Linked DNA regions of Lytechinus pictus. The protein of the gene in region 3 purifies or fractionates together with the protein of the main gene of each other region. This does not show direct contact. Links are inferred from orthologs where the notes say so. Each region holds a gene or a part of one and is shown on either strand. Other genes may lie near its edges.

The links. Proteins that work in one complex are often made in the same cells at the same time.
Region 1: the proteins of signal recognition particle receptor subunit beta-like (region 3) and signal recognition particle receptor subunit alpha-like purify together in Homo sapiens (affinity purification with mass spectrometry; 6 studies listed by BioGRID and IntAct, counting the BioPlex papers as one, with this or other methods). This does not show direct contact. The link is inferred for Lytechinus pictus from reciprocal best matches to the Homo sapiens genes SRPRB and SRPRA.
Region 2: the proteins of signal recognition particle receptor subunit beta-like (region 3) and E3 ubiquitin-protein ligase RNF185-like purify together in Homo sapiens (affinity purification with mass spectrometry; 3 studies listed by BioGRID and IntAct, with this or other methods). This does not show direct contact. The link is inferred for Lytechinus pictus from reciprocal best matches to the Homo sapiens genes SRPRB and RNF185.

Annotation. Positions count from the first base shown.
Region 1 is NC_087252.1:13,678,136-13,685,038, reverse strand, and holds the start of signal recognition particle receptor subunit alpha-like, read left to right. Parts: upstream 1-3,875; 5' UTR 3,876-3,924; coding exon 3,925-4,041; intron 4,042-6,903. UniProt on the Homo sapiens protein: Component of the signal recognition particle (SRP) complex receptor (SR). Ensures, in conjunction with the SRP complex, the correct targeting of the nascent secretory proteins to the endoplasmic reticulum membrane system.
Region 2 is NC_087246.1:35,946,227-35,953,105, reverse strand, and holds the start of E3 ubiquitin-protein ligase RNF185-like, read right to left. Parts: upstream 3,029-6,879; 5' UTR 2,937-3,028; intron 1-2,936. UniProt on the Homo sapiens protein: E3 ubiquitin-protein ligase that regulates selective mitochondrial autophagy by mediating 'Lys-63'-linked polyubiquitination of BNIP1.
Region 3 is NC_087258.1:10,463,048-10,470,520, forward strand, and holds the start of signal recognition particle receptor subunit beta-like, read right to left. Parts: upstream 3,016-7,473; 5' UTR 2,965-3,015; coding exon 2,817-2,964; intron 1-2,816. Other genes in the region: uncharacterized protein LOC129276264, read right to left, coding at 6,616-6,721, 7,218-7,276. UniProt on the Homo sapiens protein: Component of the signal recognition particle (SRP) complex receptor (SR). Ensures, in conjunction with the SRP complex, the correct targeting of the nascent secretory proteins to the endoplasmic reticulum membrane system.

The DNA of each region.
Region 1 (6,903 bases), on a different chromosome or scaffold from region 3:
CCGGCGCCGATTTAGATTAAGGTGGCGCTGATTATTCTTGATTGGCGCCAGTTATATGCAGGCAGCGATTATTTTTAACCGGCGAAGTTGTTGGGAAAAGGGTATATAGGTAAAAGAAAAGATAAGGAAGATGATATGATTGTGCTTTGCTGGGGGATAGTCTTTCCTTACTGTTGCTAATATTATATCAGTGTATAATTTTTTAAGCGGCGCCTTTTCTTTTCTTTCCTTTATTTTTATTTTTTCAAGCAGCGCCTTTTCTCTTTTTTACTTTTATTTTTTTGAGCGGCGCCTTCGGCGCCGCTCAAATATTAGGGGGGGGGGGCGCGCGCCCCCTGCGCCACCCCCCTGGATCCGCCACTGTGAACCTTATAGTAATTGTTTAAACAGTATAAACAAGTGTTTAAATCTTAAGCAACAAAGTTTAATTTTCAATATCTAATCTTCATTAAATTAAACATGATTGTCTAAACGGTTAAACAAATACTGTAAGGTTCATATAGTAAACAGCGTTGTATAAAAATATTAAACAGCGTTTTTACTGTAAAGCATGATATAAAGGCGACCGTGAAGATAATAAGTCCAAATCACACCTTGGCGATTGGTCCACGTCATTTTGGAACAAATCGCATTTTGCTAATTAAATCGTAGCCAATCGTATGATTGCTATGATCGTCATTACGACAAAATATTGATATGTTTTATTCCAATAAGGATGAAAGCATAGTCACAGAGTTGAAGATAGGTATTCGTACGATGATTTAAAACATCACATAGTAAGATATTCCATGTCCTCAATATTAGCATAACATATATTCTACTACCTTTTATTCCAAAATCGGGTCTAAGTCAGACCACTCCTAACTGTACGTTTTAAAAAGTGATGAAACTGGACTCAAATTTTTTTTTAGCAGTACCGGCGGTGATTCTGACGTTATAGGAGGTGGATTCTATGGTGTTCGATCCTCGTCCTAATTTACATGATATGGGGGGATGTATGAATGGGTGTCAGTGCATGCAGAAGATTGTCACGGGGGCGCGCAACAATAGATGCCCCCCAGCGTAATATCCTCTGTGATGCATAACTCTCAGTGCTATCCATCGATTAATGCCCATTGTTTTTGTATGGACACGCAAGAGCTCGTATGAGCTCTTAAAGGGGGGGGGGGGGGGTGGGGCCACTGCCATTAAACAGAGGACAGCATCCGCGACAAAGAAACGCGGAAAACGACAGTGCACGGCGTAACAGGCGGGGGGGGGGGGGCGTCTGGTGGATTTCACCGGGAAAATATACAGAAGGAAAAAAGGAGAAAAGGGAGAAATGAAATTAAGAAAGAACAGAAAGAAAGACAGAAAGAAAGTGAGAAAGAAAGGAAGGAAGACAAAGAAAGGGAGAAAGAAAGAAAACAAAGAAGGGGAGTGAGGGAAAGCAAAGGAGGAAAGGATTGAAAGGGAAAGGGAAAAAGTGAAAAGAAAACTAAAACATAAAAAAGGGAAAACGCAAGCAAAGCGGGAAAAGGAAGGAAATAAAAACATGCGAGAAAGAACAAATCATCCCTAATTCTATAATGTTAGCAAGTTATAGTAAGAAAAGGAATTAAAAGATGAAAAAATGGCACGGAAAAGAATGGTGGGAAAGGGAAAGGAATAGGCAAATAAAAGCGGGCAATGAAAGTAGAATGGAATGAGCCAAAATGTAAATTGGAGAAAGAAGAAAAGGGAAAAGAAACAAAAAGGAAAAAAATAATATCAAGAACGGGCTAGTGAGGATTGGAAATAAAGAACGGGAAGAGAGATTTATCTGTCACATAATCAAAATTTCATTTTAAAATGGCAATTTTTTTCTGGCGTGTTTCGCTCGCTGGCGACTTTTTTTTAAATACAAATTTACCAAATTTTTTATGTTGTGCCCCCTCAAAATATTTGCTTTATTAGATAACTGCGTCGAAGAAATGTGTTGTGCAAAAACTATACCTGCCATTTGATTAAAAATAGCGACCATCTGTAAAATTTAAAATGGCTTAATATCAAAAGGTTCCAGGAACTCCGCCCCAGACCCCACCCCTATAGCACTGGCGTAAAGCCATGGCCCCAAAGAGTTCTACAACCAAAAATGAAGAATGATCATATTTTCTGAAGATGTCAAAAACTAAAACTTAGATTCTCACCCTCACGATTTTTTTTTCTCGCTCGCTTTGCTCGCCCTGGACAGTTGTGCCCCCTCTTTCTTTAAACTCAACATGCTATCTGCTGAATAGAGCATTGGCGCCCTATATAATGCTCGCAAAGACAACCATAGAAAAAAATCCTGTTCCGACGATAGTGTCCAGACCAAGAATAATAATAAAAAAATAAAGGCAAGAGAGAAGGGTGAAACATTGTACAATTTTCTGAATATTAGGTCAAAATCTATAGCAAAATTAGATTTTGTAATAACAATTCGCCCGAGAAAAAAAAACATATTACGGTTCACCCTTTTCCCAACCATCCGTATCATCTATTAGTCTGCAGGTACAGACACTGATTGAAACTTTGATCAGCAAGTGGGTCTACACACAAAGACTAGCACATACGAAACTTAAGGCCACCGCACACCTTACGACTGGTCTGCGACCCGATTTCAGAATAAAATGTAATAGAATTTGATGCTAATATTGAGACTTGGAATATCTTACTGTGTAATGTTCGAAATCATCATACGAATACCTATGATCAAATTTGTGACTATGCTATCATCCTTCTTAGAATAAAAGCGAATTTAATATCTAGTCGTAATGACGTCATAGCAGTCTTACGATTGGCTACGATTTGAACCTAATTTGGTATTTACTCCAAAATAAGGGCTTGCAATCTTTCAAAATTGTTGTAATATTATTATTTCAATTAATTTCAACCTCAAATAAAATGATATGTTCCATTCACATCTTCAGAAAATGAGCAAAATGCGATTTGTTCCTAAATCGGGTCGCAGACCAGTCGTAAGGTGTGCGGTCGCCTTTAAGAGGGCCTTCAGTAGGCTTAGGAGCTGCGGAACGTATTATCGTTGGGGGGGGGGGGGGCAAAGCCAAAAAGGGGCACTCATATAGGGAATTTTGGAGCAAACGGATATTTTCACCATGAGATTATCATCTGCATGCGTGCAGTTGTGTGTTTTGGAGTAGTTGAGAAAAGCCTTTTTTAAAGTGATTTCTGATTATGCCTTTATTTTCCGCGATAAAGTGTAGCGAGCAAGCGGTTTGGAAAAAATCTGAAGTTAGTACATGTATTATAACTCAAGAGCATCCCTGGGTGATGTTGCGAGCGTGAAACGCGAAAATTAACCAGTCCGAATAGTTTTGGTAATCATGAAAAAGATGTGTATGTAACTAAAGAATTAAGGCCAGCGCGAACTGAAATTTTGAATGCTGACCAGAAAAGGACCTTTTATAAGGACTGCATATAGTTACTCATAAATAGGGTACATATCTTACCAATCGAATAATGCGAGCGCAAAGGGCAAGCTGAAAATTTGTGATATTTGAACATGAAAACCGGAAATTCTAAGCATTTTTGTAACCATGAACAGGATGAGAACCTTACTTAACAGTAATTGAGCACGTTGGCACATTTCATTTAAAAAAGATGCATTTTCCATTAAAGGCATTTTTTCTACGGGTATTTTTTTTTTTTTTTTTTTTTTTTTTTTTGGGGGGGGGGGGGCTGCCCCCAGTTCCGCTGCCTCTGAATAGGCTGAGCACTCATCTATCGGTTGTAGCACAATCAAATCAATGTACTACGTATAAAACAAAAACAATGTACCAACTTTATTTTGCTTGCTTGTTGCATGGATCGAGGGTACCGTAATATTGACTGCATTAAAAAAAAGTGACAAGTTCAGTCAGATTGCGTGTAAATCGACAACGGCGAGGGCCGGAAAGTGACAATATGTTAGACCTTTTCACGATTTTTAGCAAAGGAGGGATTGTTCTTTGGTGTTTCCAAGGGACGTGTCAAGCCTTTGGAGCGCCCGTGAATTCGCTGATTAAAAGTGTAATTCTTCAGGTGGGGAAATTTAGATTTATGTCTATAGTATTTCGCAATAGCTTTCGCAATCGCGCAGTGTTGGCAAATCCGATCTAGGCCTAGTCGTAGCCGTATCTCCCCCCGGACCCGTCGGGCGTAAGGGCCCCGATCCCCCGTCTGACTTTAGTTTGAGCTATAACAGTGCAGTGCGTATTACACAACAAAAAAAAAACGGGACGGTTTATAAAAAAATGTTGTTTCAAATTATGATATCGATATAGGCTTAACTGCAGAATACCCCGCACATTTCATTACCTCAACGTTGGCGAGCCAACGTCACGACCTACGATGTGAAGAATCAGAATCAATCTCGACGTGATCGATCCTGAAGATTCGTTGTCTTGTCAGTTTTTACGATACGACCCGTACCGGTACTGTACTTCCGAGCCATACGAATACACGCGCGCATGCTTGTACTCTCGCGCGCATACCGTTGGCGAGCCAACGACCTACGATGTTCCTACTATGTGCATAGGGTTAGGGTTAGGTTAGGGTTAGGGTTAGGGTTAGGGTTAGGGTTAGGGTTAGGGTTAGGGTTAGTAGCATGCCAAATTCACAACGTTGGCATCGTTGGCTCGTTGGTAGCATGCCAATCTAACAACGTTGGCATCGTTGGTTCGTTGTCAGCAAGCCAATACAAGTCACAACGTTGGCATCGTTGGCTCGTTGGTAGCATGCCAAAGTCACAACGTTGGCATCGTTGGCTCGTTGGTAGCATGCCATGCCAAAGTCACAACGTGGCATCGTTGGCTCGTTGGCAGCAGGCCAAACTCACATCGTTGGCATCGTTGGCTCGATGGCAGCATGCCAAACTTACAACGTTGGCATCGTTGGCTCGTTGGCAGCAGGCCAAACTCACATCGTTGGCATCGTCGGCTCGTTGGTAGCATGTCAAACTCACAACGTTGGCATCGTTGGCTCGTTGGTAGCATGCCAAACTCACAACGTTGGCATCGTTGGCTCGTTGGTAGCATGCCAATCTTACAACATTGGCATCGTTGGCTCGTTGGCAGCATGCCAAACTCACAACGTTGGCATCGTTGGCTCGTTGGTAGCATGCCAATCTTACAACATTGGCATCGTTGGCTCGTTGGTAGCATATGCCAAACTCACAACGTTGACATCGTTGGCTCGTTGGCAGCAAGCCAATACAAGTCACAACGTTGGCATCGTCGGCTCGTTGGCAGCATGCCAAACTCACAACGTTGGCATCGTTGGCTCGTTGGAAGCATGCCAATCTCACAACGTTGGCATCGTTGGTTCGTTGGCAGCAAGCCAATGCAACTCACAACGTTGGCATCGTCGGCTCGTTGGCAGCATGCCAAACTCACATCGTTGGCATCGTTGGCAGCAAGCCAACGCAAGTCAAAACGTTGGCATCGTTGGCTCGTTGGTAGCAAGCCAACGCAAGTCAAAACGTTGGCATCGTTGGCTCGTTGGTAGCATGTCAAACTCACAACGTTGGCATCGTTGGCTCGTTGGAAGCATGCCAATCTCACAACGTTGGCACCGTTGGATCGTTGGCAGCAAGCCAATGCAACTCACAACGTTGGCATCGTTGGCTCGTTGGCAGCATGCCAAACTCACAACGTTGGCTCGTTGACAGCATGCCAAACTCACATCGTTGACATCGTTGGCTCGTTGGTAGCAAGCCAACGCAAGTCAAAACGTTGGCATCGTTGGCTCGTTGGTAGCATGCCAATCTCACAACGTTGGCATCGTTGGCTCGTTGGCGGCATGCCCTATGCAAAAATCGCGTAATCAATCGTTGGCTTGACGTAAACAAGTTCGAATTTTAGTCACAACTCGGCTTTGTTGCAACATCCTTTCATCACATCGTAGGTCGTTGGTCGATTCAAACATCCATGCTCTCGTCGTGCGGGGTATTCTGCAGTTGTTCCTCGATATATTTGATGTTAATAGATGCTCTCAAAAGTAAAATCTTAATATTCTTATCACTATCAGTATCACTCGGACAGTAGAGGTGCACGGCCAATATTATTGGACTCTTTGGAGACTGTCTCCAACGTGGGAGATTATCTCCAATATCAAAGACTTTTGTTAGTTTTGTAAAGAATTTGGGTATCCAATTTCAGAGACAGTCTCCAGTTTTGGAGTCCAATTTCCTTTGTTTACATTTGCTACAAAAGGATTACCTTGGCGGCAAATAAAAATGTGATAAGCAGATTCCTCATGAAAAATTACCCCTTTTCACCGTCTACTTTAAAAATCCACCGTCTACTTCTGTTTTGATAAGGATTTTTGTTGTCATCCACACACAAAACAAATGGGCTTCTGACCTCAGTGAGACAAAATTTTTGATGGAAAAAATTACACTTTTGTTGGTGTTTCTTTTACTCTTTTGCAAAGCAAGTCTCCAATATGGGAGACAATCTCCCATATTGGAGAGAATCTCCCATATTGGCCGTGCGCCTCTACTGATAGATGCTCTCAAATCTTTAGTTTGACTTTGAAATGCCATTTTAAAAAATAAATTTTGTTCATGCTTTGGCTAGTTTGGCTTTGCCTTGGCTTTTACTTAGTTAAACTTTAAACTTAAAGGGGAATCCAACCCAAATAAAAACTTGTTTTTTTATAAGAAAAAGAAAAATCAGGTAAGTTGATAGGTGAAAGTTTGAACAATATTGGACAAATAACAAGAAAGCTATGAATTTTTAAAAGTTGTAAATATTGGTAATCACTAAACTCATGGAGACTTCAAATTGGCCGCATATGGGATGTCATAGTGATGTAAGGCAAGGACTACTCTTCCATGTACTCCAATACATATTATGGCTAAAATGTCATTTTTCCCAAAAGTTTTATTTCAAATTACATTTA
Region 2 (6,879 bases), on a different chromosome or scaffold from region 3:
TTTGTTTACAAGTAAGTTGCATATCCGTCGTGATAATTAGGAAAATCCACGATGTCTTCTTCTAATTCTGTAAAAATTACCTCTTCAAAGTGCCTGTGTCAGAAAATTGCCGGAAATCGTAAAAACTTGCCTTAAATGTCTCTTTTTGAAAGTTCATCCATGGTCTGGAAAAAATGTTATAATTTATGTAGACGTATAACAAGGCTCCACATTAACTTTTTTTGGTGGTGGCCCGTTCGGGCCACCAAAACCATCAAAATTTTTTTTTTGGTGGCCCGATATTAAAGTTTGGTGGCCCGAAAAATATAAAGAAAAACATTAAAAATGAATAAAACAAACTTCTGAAATATTAATTCTGCAGCCACTACCACTATGTTACTTTTACTTTATACATGTAAACCTTGTTTGCTGTAATTTTACTTTGCTAATTGATAAACGTTTCTATTGTTGTAAAAATGAAATGATTGAAAGAGAATAAATTAATTGTATTGTTCGCAGGTTGTGTGGACTTTTTTTAAATCTCTGTATAGAGATAATGGTAAAGTAAATAAATAGTGCATAGCAAATTCAGATAGATGTACAAAACAATGGTTTTTCCTTCCTTCCTCTTTGAATCCTAAAACCTAGAATATGCATGCCCCAAATCCAGTTTATTTCTGTTTTCTCTTTTGCAGCATATTATAGAAGGAGAAAATCACAGAAAAATATGCTGCAAAATTAGAACAATGCATAAAAGGGGGAAACAAACGAAAATAATTTTCAAAAAGTATATTACAAAAAGAAAACAAAAATAATAAAAGAAATTAGTGAAATAAAACAAAAGAAAGAAAATGAAGAAAGAAAAAACAAAGAACAGGGAAAAAAAGAAAATAAAAAAATTAGAGAGAAAAAAGAAAAGAAAATGAAAGAAAAATTAATAAAACAAAGTTAATAAAAAAATGGGGAAAAGGGGAAAATTAAGAAGCCATTACATATATTTTTTAACAGATGTGGCAACAGTCTATTCTGACTGGAATATAATTAAAAGCCAAGCAAATAATTTTCACTTACTTTATGGGAATGGCACATTTTTATTTTTATATCCTTTAGTTTGTATTATTTTATTTTCAGTAGAAACATATTTTTTAATCAGGCATATTCAATGGGAAGGTGTATAAATGGTTTAACCACTGTCAAAAAAAAATGAAAGGAAAAAAAAAAGAAAACGGCAAAAATTATATCTGGAAAAAAAGTGTGAGAAAAGTCCTTCCCTATATTTGCCAAAATGTTGGGTGAAAAAATCACATTTCATATCAATGAAATGCCTTCCCAAAGTATTTACTTTCTCAAGAGTGGTTTAAGAAGTCATTTATAAACAAGAAAGAAAGAAACTGTCTGTTTGTTTTTGGCTAGAAAATACACAGCTTCGAAAGAAACCAAGTATCAACATACATACAAATGCACACGTGGGACTGTGATGTAATTGCCTATGTGTTTTATGTGTATTAATTCATGTGGAAATCGGTCTTTTTGAGTCAAAAGAGAGGTCATAATTCCTCTTCTTAATACTTGCAAATAATCAGGATACACCAGATTTTCGTAATATAGACTGTAGAATTGCATTTCATTGGTGTAAAATGTGACTTTGACTGAGATTTTCAAAGTTCTGTGGAAGATTTCTCAGCTGCAACATTTTTTATCGCAGCTCCCTGAGTCTGAATAGGCTGAGCTAGCTAGATCTAGAGCACAGCTGTATGCAGTGGCTTCATGCAAAGCTCACGCCAGCCGGCCGGCGCGTCTGGCTGGATAATAGCTACTGTATGCTATAGCTGTAGGCCTAATATGCAAACTTTGTGTGTGTGTATTTGTGTGTAGATCAACAAAAAGGGCGCATGACGAACTGGCTTGCAATTTGAGCTGTAGAAAGTTGATAAATGCGTGCAAAATTGGGAGAAAAATTGCGCTACTTTGAAAATTATTGGTTGCCCGATTCGGGCCACCAAAACTTAACATTTTATCAATAATGGTTGCCCGAGGTGAATTTTTGGTGGCCCCGGGCCACCGCTAATGTCGAGCCTTGCGTATAACGTAAACAAATACATCCTCGATCACTGAAATGAAGTGTTTGCTAAGCTTTTATATCTCAGACCACGTTACCATGGCAACTTGGGAAAACCTTTATTTTTTAGTAATAAAATTCTGGTTTTAAGGGTCATTTTAGAGACATAAAACTAACCATATTTTGAAGTATTGGGTTTAAATTTCACATAAAACTGAATTATCTATGTTTATACTTTCGTATATGAATATTCATATTTCTTATAGAATCTTAGTTTTTGATTGGTCAATGTTTCAGTCATGGATAATAACTGAGCGTTAAAAAATCTGAAAATGCGCATTTTATCGGCAACCAACAATCAAGATGGCGGAACACATTAAGTTGGCGCTATGCACGTACGTGGCTACTAGCCTTCTAGGCTACATCTGTCCCATATTATAAAATGCATGAATTTCAATTTTTTTTTTTATTCGTGATGACTTATTTTTGTTTCCTTGTTAAGAAGGGGTGTGAAATTATTAAAAAAGCTCCTTGAAGCAGACGGCTGCCAGCTATCTAGGGCCAAGTATACTTCAGTCTGGCGAGAAGCCAACGCAGTTCAGCGGAACAACCAAATCTACAGTACAAAGCTGAGTCAGAGACTGAAGCTTTTGGTCTAGGCCTATATGCCCGTCACTGCACTGCACCGCCGACGCTCTCCCGGTCCAGTAGTGTATCGTACCGTTCTCGGTAACGCTCGCGTCGACTAGCACAGCAGCTCATCAGTCCCATCACACACATCTTTTATTGCTATTCTTTTTCGTGCTTACATAACTATCCTGAGACATATATTGCTCTATCTCGTTGATGATATCATTTTACAATATATGCAAAAATGAAATGTGAATTGAAAACTTACCTTAATTCTAGCAAATCTACAGGGGAAAAGAAAATTTTCGACATCAGGCATCAACCTCTGTGCTGATCCTCCCACTGCCTATTACGTGTTTTAGAAAACCGCCCTCTTTAGGTCTAATGTTGGAGAGCAGAATCGAGTGTTTTTTTTAATTTTTTTTAAAGGATGTTTTTATTGTATTCTCTCAAATCAAAATACACATTTACATTTCATGAAAAATCAATTGAAACATGATTATAAATTTTGCAATAAATCCATATCCCATATGATTATACAAATATACATCGAACTTCAAATATACCGGAAATTAATACTGACCCGGATACTGATGACAACATGCGTTTCAACCCCAGTTTCAACAATTACAAATGAAAATTTTAACATGATGCAGGGGCGGATCCAGCTTTTTATAAAGGGGGGGGGTTGGGGTGGTATGCGAGGGAGCGTAGCGACCGAGTCCAAGCGAGCGGAGCGAGCGAGGGGGGAGGGTGTGGGAGGGGGGTGTCCCCCTCCCACAGTAGGGAAAATTTTTGAAAATCTGTGTGTGAAAATGGCGTTTTCTTGCATCTAAAACACCACTCTTTTTGGTATAGAGGTCGTTGCCAAATTAACCCCCATGAAAATTTGTAAAATTAAGTTGCATTTTCCTGCAATGTAACATTTGTTCGCCCAACCCCCCCCTCCCCCCAAAAGAAATAATAATAATAATAATAATAATAATAATAAATGAAATAAATACATAGAAATAGAATAAAATAAAATTACAAGTTTAAAAAAAAAGATAAGATTTAAAAAAATGGTCCCCGGATTTTTTTTTGGGGGGTTGCAACCCCCCCAACCCCCCCTCTAGATCCGCTTCTGTGATGTATTACATGTAAATGACAAGAAAGAGAAAAAAAAACAATGATAAAAAACAGTGATGTTCTACCTCCCACCCCAAGTGTTTTTTTCTTTTAAATCAATTCATTCAGTGACATTTACAACCAGCTCTGAAATACAAACATAAACTGACGATTAACTTCATAAATAATACATCAAAGTACCAATAACAAAGTATAACAGGTACACAAATCTATAGATTTAAATCAATTAAACTGGTCCATTCATTATTCCAATTCACTGAAAGAAACTTAAGAAATATAATACAGAAAAAATAAAGAAAACCAAAACCCGCACTCAGGCCCCCTCCTTCCCCACACCACCTTGCCCATCCCATCCCACCCTCCCCAGCCCCACCATATCTGCGCCTCGCTCCCCCCAAAAAAAAACAATGACCCAGGCAAGCCCCCGCTTGAACATTAGAATCTGCACTGCTATACAACGTATACATTGAGGGGAGAGAGAGAAGAGAAAAGGAGAGAAATAAATGAAGAAGAAAAGGAAGAAGAAGAAAAGGAAAAAAAGTAACTCTGCCATTCATTCGGAATCAAAAGCCTCCCATGTTTAAAAATGACGTATATCCTTTTTTCCTCAAATTTATTTCTTACGAAAATTTCTTTCACTTCCAGTGGTTATATAAGGAGGTATATTTTTCTTTTTAGATTGAATATAGGATATATTTCAATAACAATATTACACAATAATACGTCTTCCTGGTATCACCCAAGGGTGCACCAAAAATATTCCTTCCCAATCCAGTTCTTAAAAATGAGTAAGTTAAGGGGGAAGTTCACCCTGACAAAAAGATAATTGCAAAAAATTTTAGCAGAAAAATACTTAAAAACATTGCCGAAGGTTTGAGAAAAATCCATCAAAGAATAGAAAACTTATTAGAATTTTAATTATTTGATTTGTAACGTAATATGCGATCAGCATTCCTACATATCGAATGGTAAGAAAAAATAATGAAATGTCATTATCTCAGAAAATTGATAATAGTTTTCATTGTGACATTTAGTATATCTGTAGGCAAATCATTTCACACCCCTTCCTAAAAAGAAAACAAAAATAAGCCCGGGAAGTAAGTCATCATGAACCAATAAAAATTTGAAATTCATGCATTTTATAACAGATGCTCGTTTATGACGTCACATATCCAAAACTTAAATTTTAATAACTTCCTTAATCTTTGTTGGATTTTTCTCAAACCTTTACCAGTATTCACATGCCCCCCCCCCCCCATAGCAAACGAATGTGAACAGGTTTCTACTTCTATCTGACAAAACTGCAGATCAGTAAGACCAAATCAATATAAATCACAATTCGTGTAAATAATCCCATAGCATTTTGAATTGAAATTCCCTCAGCTTACTATTCAAAATACATTTTCTCGGCCTGAGAAAGTGTTTTCAATAGGCATATCTCTTTAGACAAACTAAATTATTCTTTGAACCGATTAACTTCTAATTTAGAATTGAGAATAGTTCTTTACCATCTTTTTTAAGACGAGTTCAATTCCCCAAAACAATGAATAAAATTTTTTCCAGATCTATTTCTCTTTTTTCTTTTCTTCCGTGAAATGCATTTACCTTTTCCAACTGGGCGGAATTTTCTCAAATATAGGCATAATTATTACCTGTAATAATTATATTCCATGAATATGATGAAGTGAGACCTTTACTTTTGAAATTGCATCCGTTTTCAATTCACCATCTTTATCTGCAACATGTTTTAACCTGAATAAATACCTTTCGATATTAGATCTGCATGATGGAATGGAAAGCCCCGAAAACAATATATTTATTATTAAAAATGACTTCATTACAGATTACTGTTACAGATGTTACGATTCCAACCATGTATTTAATAGCTGTAAATAAAACGGCGATAAAGACATGCAGCTTTAACTGTACTTTAGAATATCGTATTTACAGAGAAAAATGAAGTAATAACAATACAAATCCATTTCATTTGTTGATTCCAAAACTGTGATATAGACAAAAATTCATCATTTTAAGTTCCTCATATTTGAAATCAAGAAACATTGTAGTTCTCTTAACCTTGTCTTTTTCTCTTCATAAAAAATCAAAGGTCAATTTACCCAAGCATACCGTGAGAGGGAGTTTTTAATTTTGCTCAAAACTTCTTCATATAGTTCATACTCTCTTTTACCTGTTAAGCTAAAAAATACCCCTAATAATTTTATGAATGGTACTAATTTTCCGAAATGGAGTGCCCCTGGTTTTTCTTGATTAACATTGCCAAATAGCATTTAGTGGCGTAATGAGCAAAACAAAAATTGAGGGGCTAGATATGGCGTATCGCGTAAAATTATTAAAAAGTTGCGAGCGAGCAAAAAAATTGTCATTTTTATTAAAAAAAATACAATTTTGTGAAAGGTTTTGTAATAATTTTAGGAAATGATATCACATTTCACTCTTTTCTCTTTCCTTTTTTTTTTTCTTGGTCGTGATTTTTTTGGGGGGAAGAGCCCCCCAGGCCCCCCATCTGTACGCCAGTGATAGCATTATCATGATTATATATATCTTTTCTTTATTCATTTTCAACCCAGACACACTTACGAAACTTTTGAATGTTATTTCTAAATGGTTCATTGAATTAAGATTGTCGATTCTAATTGCCTCTGCCGTAAATGCATCACAAAGCCGGGTTTTATATTTATAATAATTTTATTCTTATGAAATTACTTGAATTGCAGCTGTGTATATCATGTTGTAACGCATTTTATCAATCCTTTGGCACTTTGGCACTCTCCCTCTCTCTCCTCCTCTGTTTCCATTATCCTTTTTCTAATTACGTTCCTTTTTTTTTCTTCGTCCAATTTCTGTCTATTTCTCTATCCATTTTTTTTTCATTTCGCTTTTGTCTCTTTCATTCTTTAACTTTTAGCTGTATCTCTCTCCAGACGTTTCTTCATTCTTTGCCTGTATGAGTAATTTATTGGTTTTCAATTCCTTTTTATGTTGTAATTGCAATACATGTTTATTTACATTCCTGTAATGTTTAAATATTGTCCAATTTATACGTCTTTAGCGTGTATTTATAT
Region 3 (7,473 bases):
TATAGATCAAGAAACCAGTAGAATAATAGAACAAAGAATTTATTGAACAATATCAACATGTACATTATCTTTATAAATAACTTTAACTGGTATATTCATAATTCCCTTTTACTGAAAGGATTAAAAATATAATATAGAAAGAAAAACAAAGGGAAAGACAGCCACATCCGCGCAAAACTTTCTAAACTTAAATCAATCCTTGACTTTGACATCAGCCCCCCCCCCCCCCCTTCCCCACATACCTACGAAAGCAAGCCCCCACAATTGTGACAGATATTGCAAATTCAGCATGTAAGTAGCGCATCCCCAATTTTTTTTTTAATTGCTTGGATCATGAGCCACCTTCCCTGCCCCCCCAAAAAAAAATATATATATGGAGGCCTTGCCCCCTGAATCCATTATTATAAAAACACAGATCTATACAGATCTATTCTACTTTCCAAATATGTTTTAACCCCTGGCCCAGGGAAAAACATAAATAAAGGGGGTAATGCAATTTGACCCCCCCCCCCTTCTATTCTCACAATCCATTCCTCATTCATTGCGAACAATACATCATCATCATCAAATCATGTCCAATGGTTAAATATTACAATAAAATCATTTTTAAAGGAAAGAGTTGTCAAATGTTAAATATATCTTTAAAACTGATACACTCAGGCGAAATATCCTGAAAGACGTCCCCGTAAATTATGTTTCGTGGGATTAAGTACATTTTGCCTTTCTGCCAGAGAGGGTGCATTTACCCTTCCAACGATCGCAAATTAATCTAAAAACTTTTGACATGGCTTCAATATTGTCTTTCGCGCTTCTCAGCGCCATACTTATTGGCCCCAAGTTTGGTAGCAATCGAGAGAGAACGTTGCAAGTTACTCAGTTGTTCAACAGGGTTCTTAATATGTTCTGAGGGGGTCGGTTTCGAGCTGTAAGCCCTCAAAGATACCTCAAATTTAGCCTAAAATTACTCATATTTTCAGTTTAATATTTCAATGAAAATCATAGGGGAAAAAATAGAATTTTGGGGAAAAAATAATTAAAGTTTGTCATCTTAGCTTCGTTTGAAGCCATCTTGCAGCCGATATCACAGTCTACTTCCCTTGCAATGCATGATTGTAGCTGACCCTGCAAACCCGGAAGTTAAAGCCATGTTTTCATTTTACCATAAACATGTTCTGCAGCGTGACGATATGCCCAATATACGTCATAGAAAACCTAGGGGTTTTTTTTACTGAAAATGACCATGGTTCAACGAATTAACATTGAAATAGTGACAATTGTAAGTTTTTCTTCTGTATTATTTCAATTGTGTGTTACACATCGCATTTAGCCTTGAATTAAATGAAGGCCAGAATTAACATATAGACTAGAGAGGGCTCAGTTGTGGGTAACCCAGGGACACAGAGGAACAAACTTGACCCTCAAAAAAAGGAAAATTTCTGTCTTGTTCGTTCTCCTTCTTTCAAAATTGAAAACATAATGGCCGATCGCTACCGCGTGACGAACGCGACATGGAGGTCTAACTTTTCTTTTTTTTGAGGGTCCAGTTGGTGCCTTGATGTCAGGATTCTGTGTCACGATAGACCTCCATCCATTATAATCGAGGTTAGTGCATAATTTATTTTTTCCCCTTTTATTTGGTGATATAGATAGTTTTAGTCTAGACTAGAGACCCCATTCTACCCCATTTTGGAGAGTACCCATGCATGTCTGCCTAGTATTACAAGGACGAGTCCTGGGCTCCGGCCCACTTCACAGGCCGGAGCTCCCTGGCCTGGGTTTAATAAGTTGTGAGTTGTCGTTGTTGGGAATTTTTGTCAGTAGAGGCGTACGGCCAATATTGGAGACTGTCTCCAATGTGGGAGATTATCTTCAATATCAGAGACTTTTGTAAAGAATTTGGGTATCCAATTTCAGAGACAGTCTCCAGTTTTGGAGTCCAATTTCCTTTGTTTACATTTGCTGCAAAAGGATAACCTTGGCGGCAAATAAAAATGTGATAAGCAGATTCCTCATGAAAAATTACCCCTTTTCACCATCTACTTTAAAAATTCACCGTCTACTTTTGTTTTGATAAGGATTTTTGTTGTCAATCACACACAAAACAAATGGGCTTCTGACCTCAGTGAGACAAAATTTTGGGTGGAAAAAATCTAGACAGCTGGCAGCCGTCTGTTTCGAGGAGTTTTTTAACATTTTTTTTTTTTTTTTTTTTTCTCCTCGTACACAGACGGCTCGCTAGCGTGCAGCCACCATTAGGGGACTTGCAATGCAAAATCCCCCCGTCGGGGCTCTTCAATTTTTGTCTTTAATGAATAAAAATTTTGAAAATTAACGCGACCAAAATGCAAATTAATATTCCCTCTTGGCATTAATTGCCAAAAAACGGAGAAAAATCAAGTTAAAAGGAACAAAAACAGTGACTTACCGCAGCTGTCGCGCAAATTCACTTCCCCTTTTTATCCGATCTTAAGTACATAAACATATGGCCATTGAGTCCCCTGTAGAGATCGCGCTAGAACTTCGGTCTCTGTATTTGGTGAGTGAAGCCAACGGAGTTCAGCTGAACAACCAACATAACAGAGACCGAAGCTTTTGGTCTAGAAAAAATCATGCTTTTGTTGGTGTTGTTTCTTTTGTCCTTTTGCAAAGCAGGTCTCCAATGTGGGAGATTGTCTCCCCTATTGGAGAGAGTCTCCCATATTGGCCGTGCGCCTCTACTTTTTGTGTTGTTAATGTTGGACGCGAGAGTTAGTGTTCCGCGCGCCGCGGCCAGTGTGGGTGGCCGTGGCCGTGGCATTGCTGCTACCTCGACTTACTGACATTTGTGAACAATTTTTGGTGAGGAAATTTGCTCGAAATCGGCCCTTGCGAAACTGCATTATTAGCGCCCTTCTGCCCAACAGGCAACAGGGTACAGCAGGATCTCCGAAAGTAAACCCGCTCTCCAACACCGTCGCTCATCATACAATTTACACAAGCTCATTACTCGATCTGTGCACACGACAACACATGCATAACAAATAGCCACCGGAGCACATGACCTGGCATATGTCGAGAAGGCGAATTGAAATTTACCCACAACTCATTAATAAATTCAACTCATCCTCTCAAACTTACCCATGGTGAAAAGAATGACAATAATTGCGACTGCAACACCCAAAATGATGGGATCTTGCTTTGAAACCTCCGATTTGACATTTTCAAAATACCCTTGCAACACGTCAACACCGCTTGCAGCCGACATTTTTACAGAATACTGCCCTCTAGTGGTCAGCTTATATTTGCCTTTCTCTCTCCTTTTATTTTGTTCTCCCCCTTCTCTTACTTTGCTTCCCTCTTGACCTTCAATAAAAACCCTTGCGTCTCATTATAGCTCCATTCATATCTATCTCTGCTGATTCCGGATTCCCTTCTTTTTTTCTTTCTACTTACTTTTCTTTTTCTTTCCTTTCTTTCTTTCATTCTTTCTTTCTTTTTTTTCTCTCCCTCTCTCTTTCCACTTGTTTTTAACAAGAATTACTTCTATCATTCAGGAAAAAAAAACTTTCCATGGGTCTGAAAAAATAAACTCTAATAAATTAATAATAGGGTAGACTATTACAAACAATCTTAAAGGGCCCCAATGAAAACCAGAGTTAAATCTGATTGGGTTACTTTCTTATATAATTTGTGAAATATATCAATAGCAGCAGTACTCCTTTTGCCTTCTTTGTTCTCACATTTTTTCTTCATTTCAAACTTAATTTCTTTGTTTCTCTTCCTTTAGTCAATTCTTACTTTTATTTTTAGTCCAAGTTTTATTTATTCCTTCTCTTTATTCCTTCATTCTTTTTGTTTTGTTAAGGCTCTATTTGGTTTGTGTTTTTTTATATATTTTTTTTTTGCTTTTCACAAGAAAATAATTTTCATCAAATTATAGGAAAATGTCACTACAAGAGTGTTGATATAGTATCTTCATACAACATTAACATTTAAATTGGGACTCCCTGATGCCCCCCAACAGACACACACCAAACACCTTGTTAAATGTTAAGGCTTTTCTCAGAAAAAAAGGAATTTGAAAACTCAAAGGAAAATCAACAACACTGTAAAAGATATATTGTATTTATAACATTAAATTACCATATAAAAGTTTTAATATTCAATTTTACTTGCCAAATATATACAGCCACAGTCAAGGACAGGCATTTTGATCATGTACACATCAAACATGTACCACATAATCATAAAATGTGATAATGATTTTAATTTGCTTTTCTTTTTTATTGAAAGATACCCCAAGGGCCCCGTTGCATAAAAGTTACTATTATGGTCCAACTTTGCCATCCAATTGTAACTACCATGGTAACAATGCTCAACAGCCAATCAAAATCAAGGATTCAATGCAAGTTACCATTGCATGGAAAAGTTACCATGATATGGTAATTTTTATGCAACGGGCCCTGGAGTCTAAACTGAAATTCTGTTGAATTTTACAGGGGCAAACAGAGATAGAGACTTCTACTGTATACCATTTTCCCTTTGAAGTTTCAGTGTCACAAAATGTTGAACATTGCACAAATTACAAACCAAAATATTATTCATAAATAGAACTTTCACTGTCATACAGTAGTATTGGGCTATCATCATGCAGCCCTTTACGAAAATGGGTACATTCATAATATCATATTTCAGCTTGGTTTCAGTTTCACTAATGCATCATATAAACAATTTCAAGAAATAGTGTGACATTAAATATGATTACTCACTTTCTTCACAAATTTGCCTTTGTCAACAAGCAAAAAATTATTTATTTTAGACTATCCTAAACCCCAAAGGCCTATATTCTGCACTCTGGTTCAATTTAAACTCTGGTCTTAAAGTTGTGATTAAACTCTGGATGGCCCACTGCGACACAACTTTTTAAGTTTAGAAGTTTCAATTTATCCAATTACTTTGACACTCAAAATATTCATATCTGTCTGGGAATAATAAGTAAAATAATTTTCTTCACCATCACAGCATGAGGAAGGAGCACAGTAAACATAAAACATAAACCATAAAAAAAATAATAATTGTAAAATTTGAGACATTTTCGGAATAAAAGAAACAAAAACAACCTACAATCAAGAGGTGCTTTGATACAGTGTCTCATGATGCAGATTTCCTTTCTAGAAATCAACTTATGAAGATGAGGCATCTTCAATTTTCATTTCAAGTTTTGAGTTGTGTTTGATAGTGAATTGAAACAAGCTCTGAATAACAAATCATAAACAATACCATATAAATAAGAAATACAGATGGGTGGTTGGAGGAAGAGGGGATGGCCAAAGAATTAATGGAAAAAGCAATTGACGGAAGAGAGGAGGGTTGGGCTGAGGATGAAGGAAGCAGTGCATCATGCAAAATGGAGGGAGGGGTAAGCAGGGAAAGGGTGAATCAGGCCACCCCCATTCAATGGGGACAAATCTGGGCCCTGTCTTACAAAGAGTTACGATTGATTCAATCAATCACAACTCTATGGAAATTCATCAGTGTCATAATTTTTTCTACAGGAAATTTGCACAATGTCCTTTGTAAACAAAGAGAAGCACAGTGAATTTTCAAGAAAACAATGAATGCAAGAATATAAATCATAGTTAGAAAATATTTTGAACAAACATGAATAATTCATGTTGATGTTGCGGGCCGTCCATAGTTGTGATTGATCGGATCAATCGCAACTCTTTGTAAGACGGGCCCCTGGACTTAAAACTGGGCAGTTCCATAAAATATGTACGTCTGACCCCCTATATGTGGGAACTTCATGAAATTTTCTGTCTCTGATTTCTTGTTCTTTTGACAGTCTGTAATGTTTTCAAAGGACCATGACTTGGTCAGTTTACAAAGTGAAGCAAGACTTGAGAAAAATGGGGGTCGGACGTACAAAAAGGTTGATCATTTTATGGAATTGCCCAACCGTGGACTACTGGTACATAAATAAAACATGATAACAAGAATGAATAGGGTGTGCACCTCATTGCTTGCCTGGCTCGATCAATGTGACTATTCTTTCTTCCTCTTAATACCAAATAAACTCTCAATCATAGAGAAACATATTTGTCTGATTTTTACCAGCATCGACAACCTCTTCAACAGATACTTCTGGGGCAAAGGTCAGAAATAAAGCTTGAAAGTCATCATCTCATCATCAGATTCTCCAAGTAGCACCATCACACGGAGATGTCCCTTTATTGGAGGCATTTCCCCCGATCTCTTTGCATCCGAAACTTGTCATGCCAACTGCATGAATGTTTAAAACCTCTTAAACGGATGGAGAGGTACAACATTTGAGTTGTCTTGTGAAACGTATAGCATGACCAGGGGCCCGTTGCAGAAAGAGTTGCAATCAATCGCAACTCTAACAATCATGCGCAACTTGATTTTCAACCAATCAACAAAGCGCATTTGGGACTTGCGATTGATTTTTTGGCTTGCGTTTCAACGCAACTCTTTCTGCAACGGGCCCCTGGTCCTTGACTTCCTCATGGCCAACCACTCAAGGACAGAGGCCCCTCACACTCATCCGAGTGGTCACGGGAGATTGGGTGTATCTCTATTTTAGAGTGGTTTCTCTCATCTTGAATCTTTGCTTGATCAGACCGGTAATGAACTTGATACTGCTTTCCCTGCTAAAGAGGTGAACACTTTGGTGAAAAACTTGAGTCCAGTCTGACCACCGGGGATGTAGCTCATCACATACCTGTGAATCAAAGAATTAGAAATACTTTTATCCAGGGGGCGTCTCATAAAGCTACTTTCAAATCATCTTCATTTTTTTTCTTTTTTTTTTAAAGAGTACGCATTGTTACCAAGAATAGCATTTCCATTTATTCGGATGTAGGATAAAAGAGCACTGTTGATTAAATGGATGGAACCCCAGACTTTCATGTTTCTAGTCATTAGACCACTCAGCCAGGCTGCACTCAGCCACGACACCTCCACAAAACTTGGCTTTTTATACTATAGATTTTATACAAGTTTTCTCCAACATTGAAAAGGATTTATGTCTCAAATGATTTGATATTGCATTAAGAGTTGTGAAATTTGCTTTATAATGATGAAAATTGTCATTATAATTGATCAAGAATGAGTTATTGTCACAACAACTCAATATTTTTTGCACATTTTCTCTTAGAAGTTCAATCCAGACTTCATACTAATAAGTTTAATCATGGGAACTCCATTAAAAAACTCACCAAATTAGGGCTAACATTTGAAGAATGGCACAAACGATTGTCATTATGGTGACTTGTTTCTGAAAGAGAAGACAAAACCATGGATTATAAACAGAATAATGGATTATTATGTCAATAAGGTTTATTCATATCAAAGAGGAATCAATTACATGTATAAGACCACTGTAACACATTTGTTGCTTTGTACAGGAGGTATTTTATCTGTCCTTTCTTTCCTTCTTTCACTCTCTCTATAGTAACGAGACTTGATTTATCA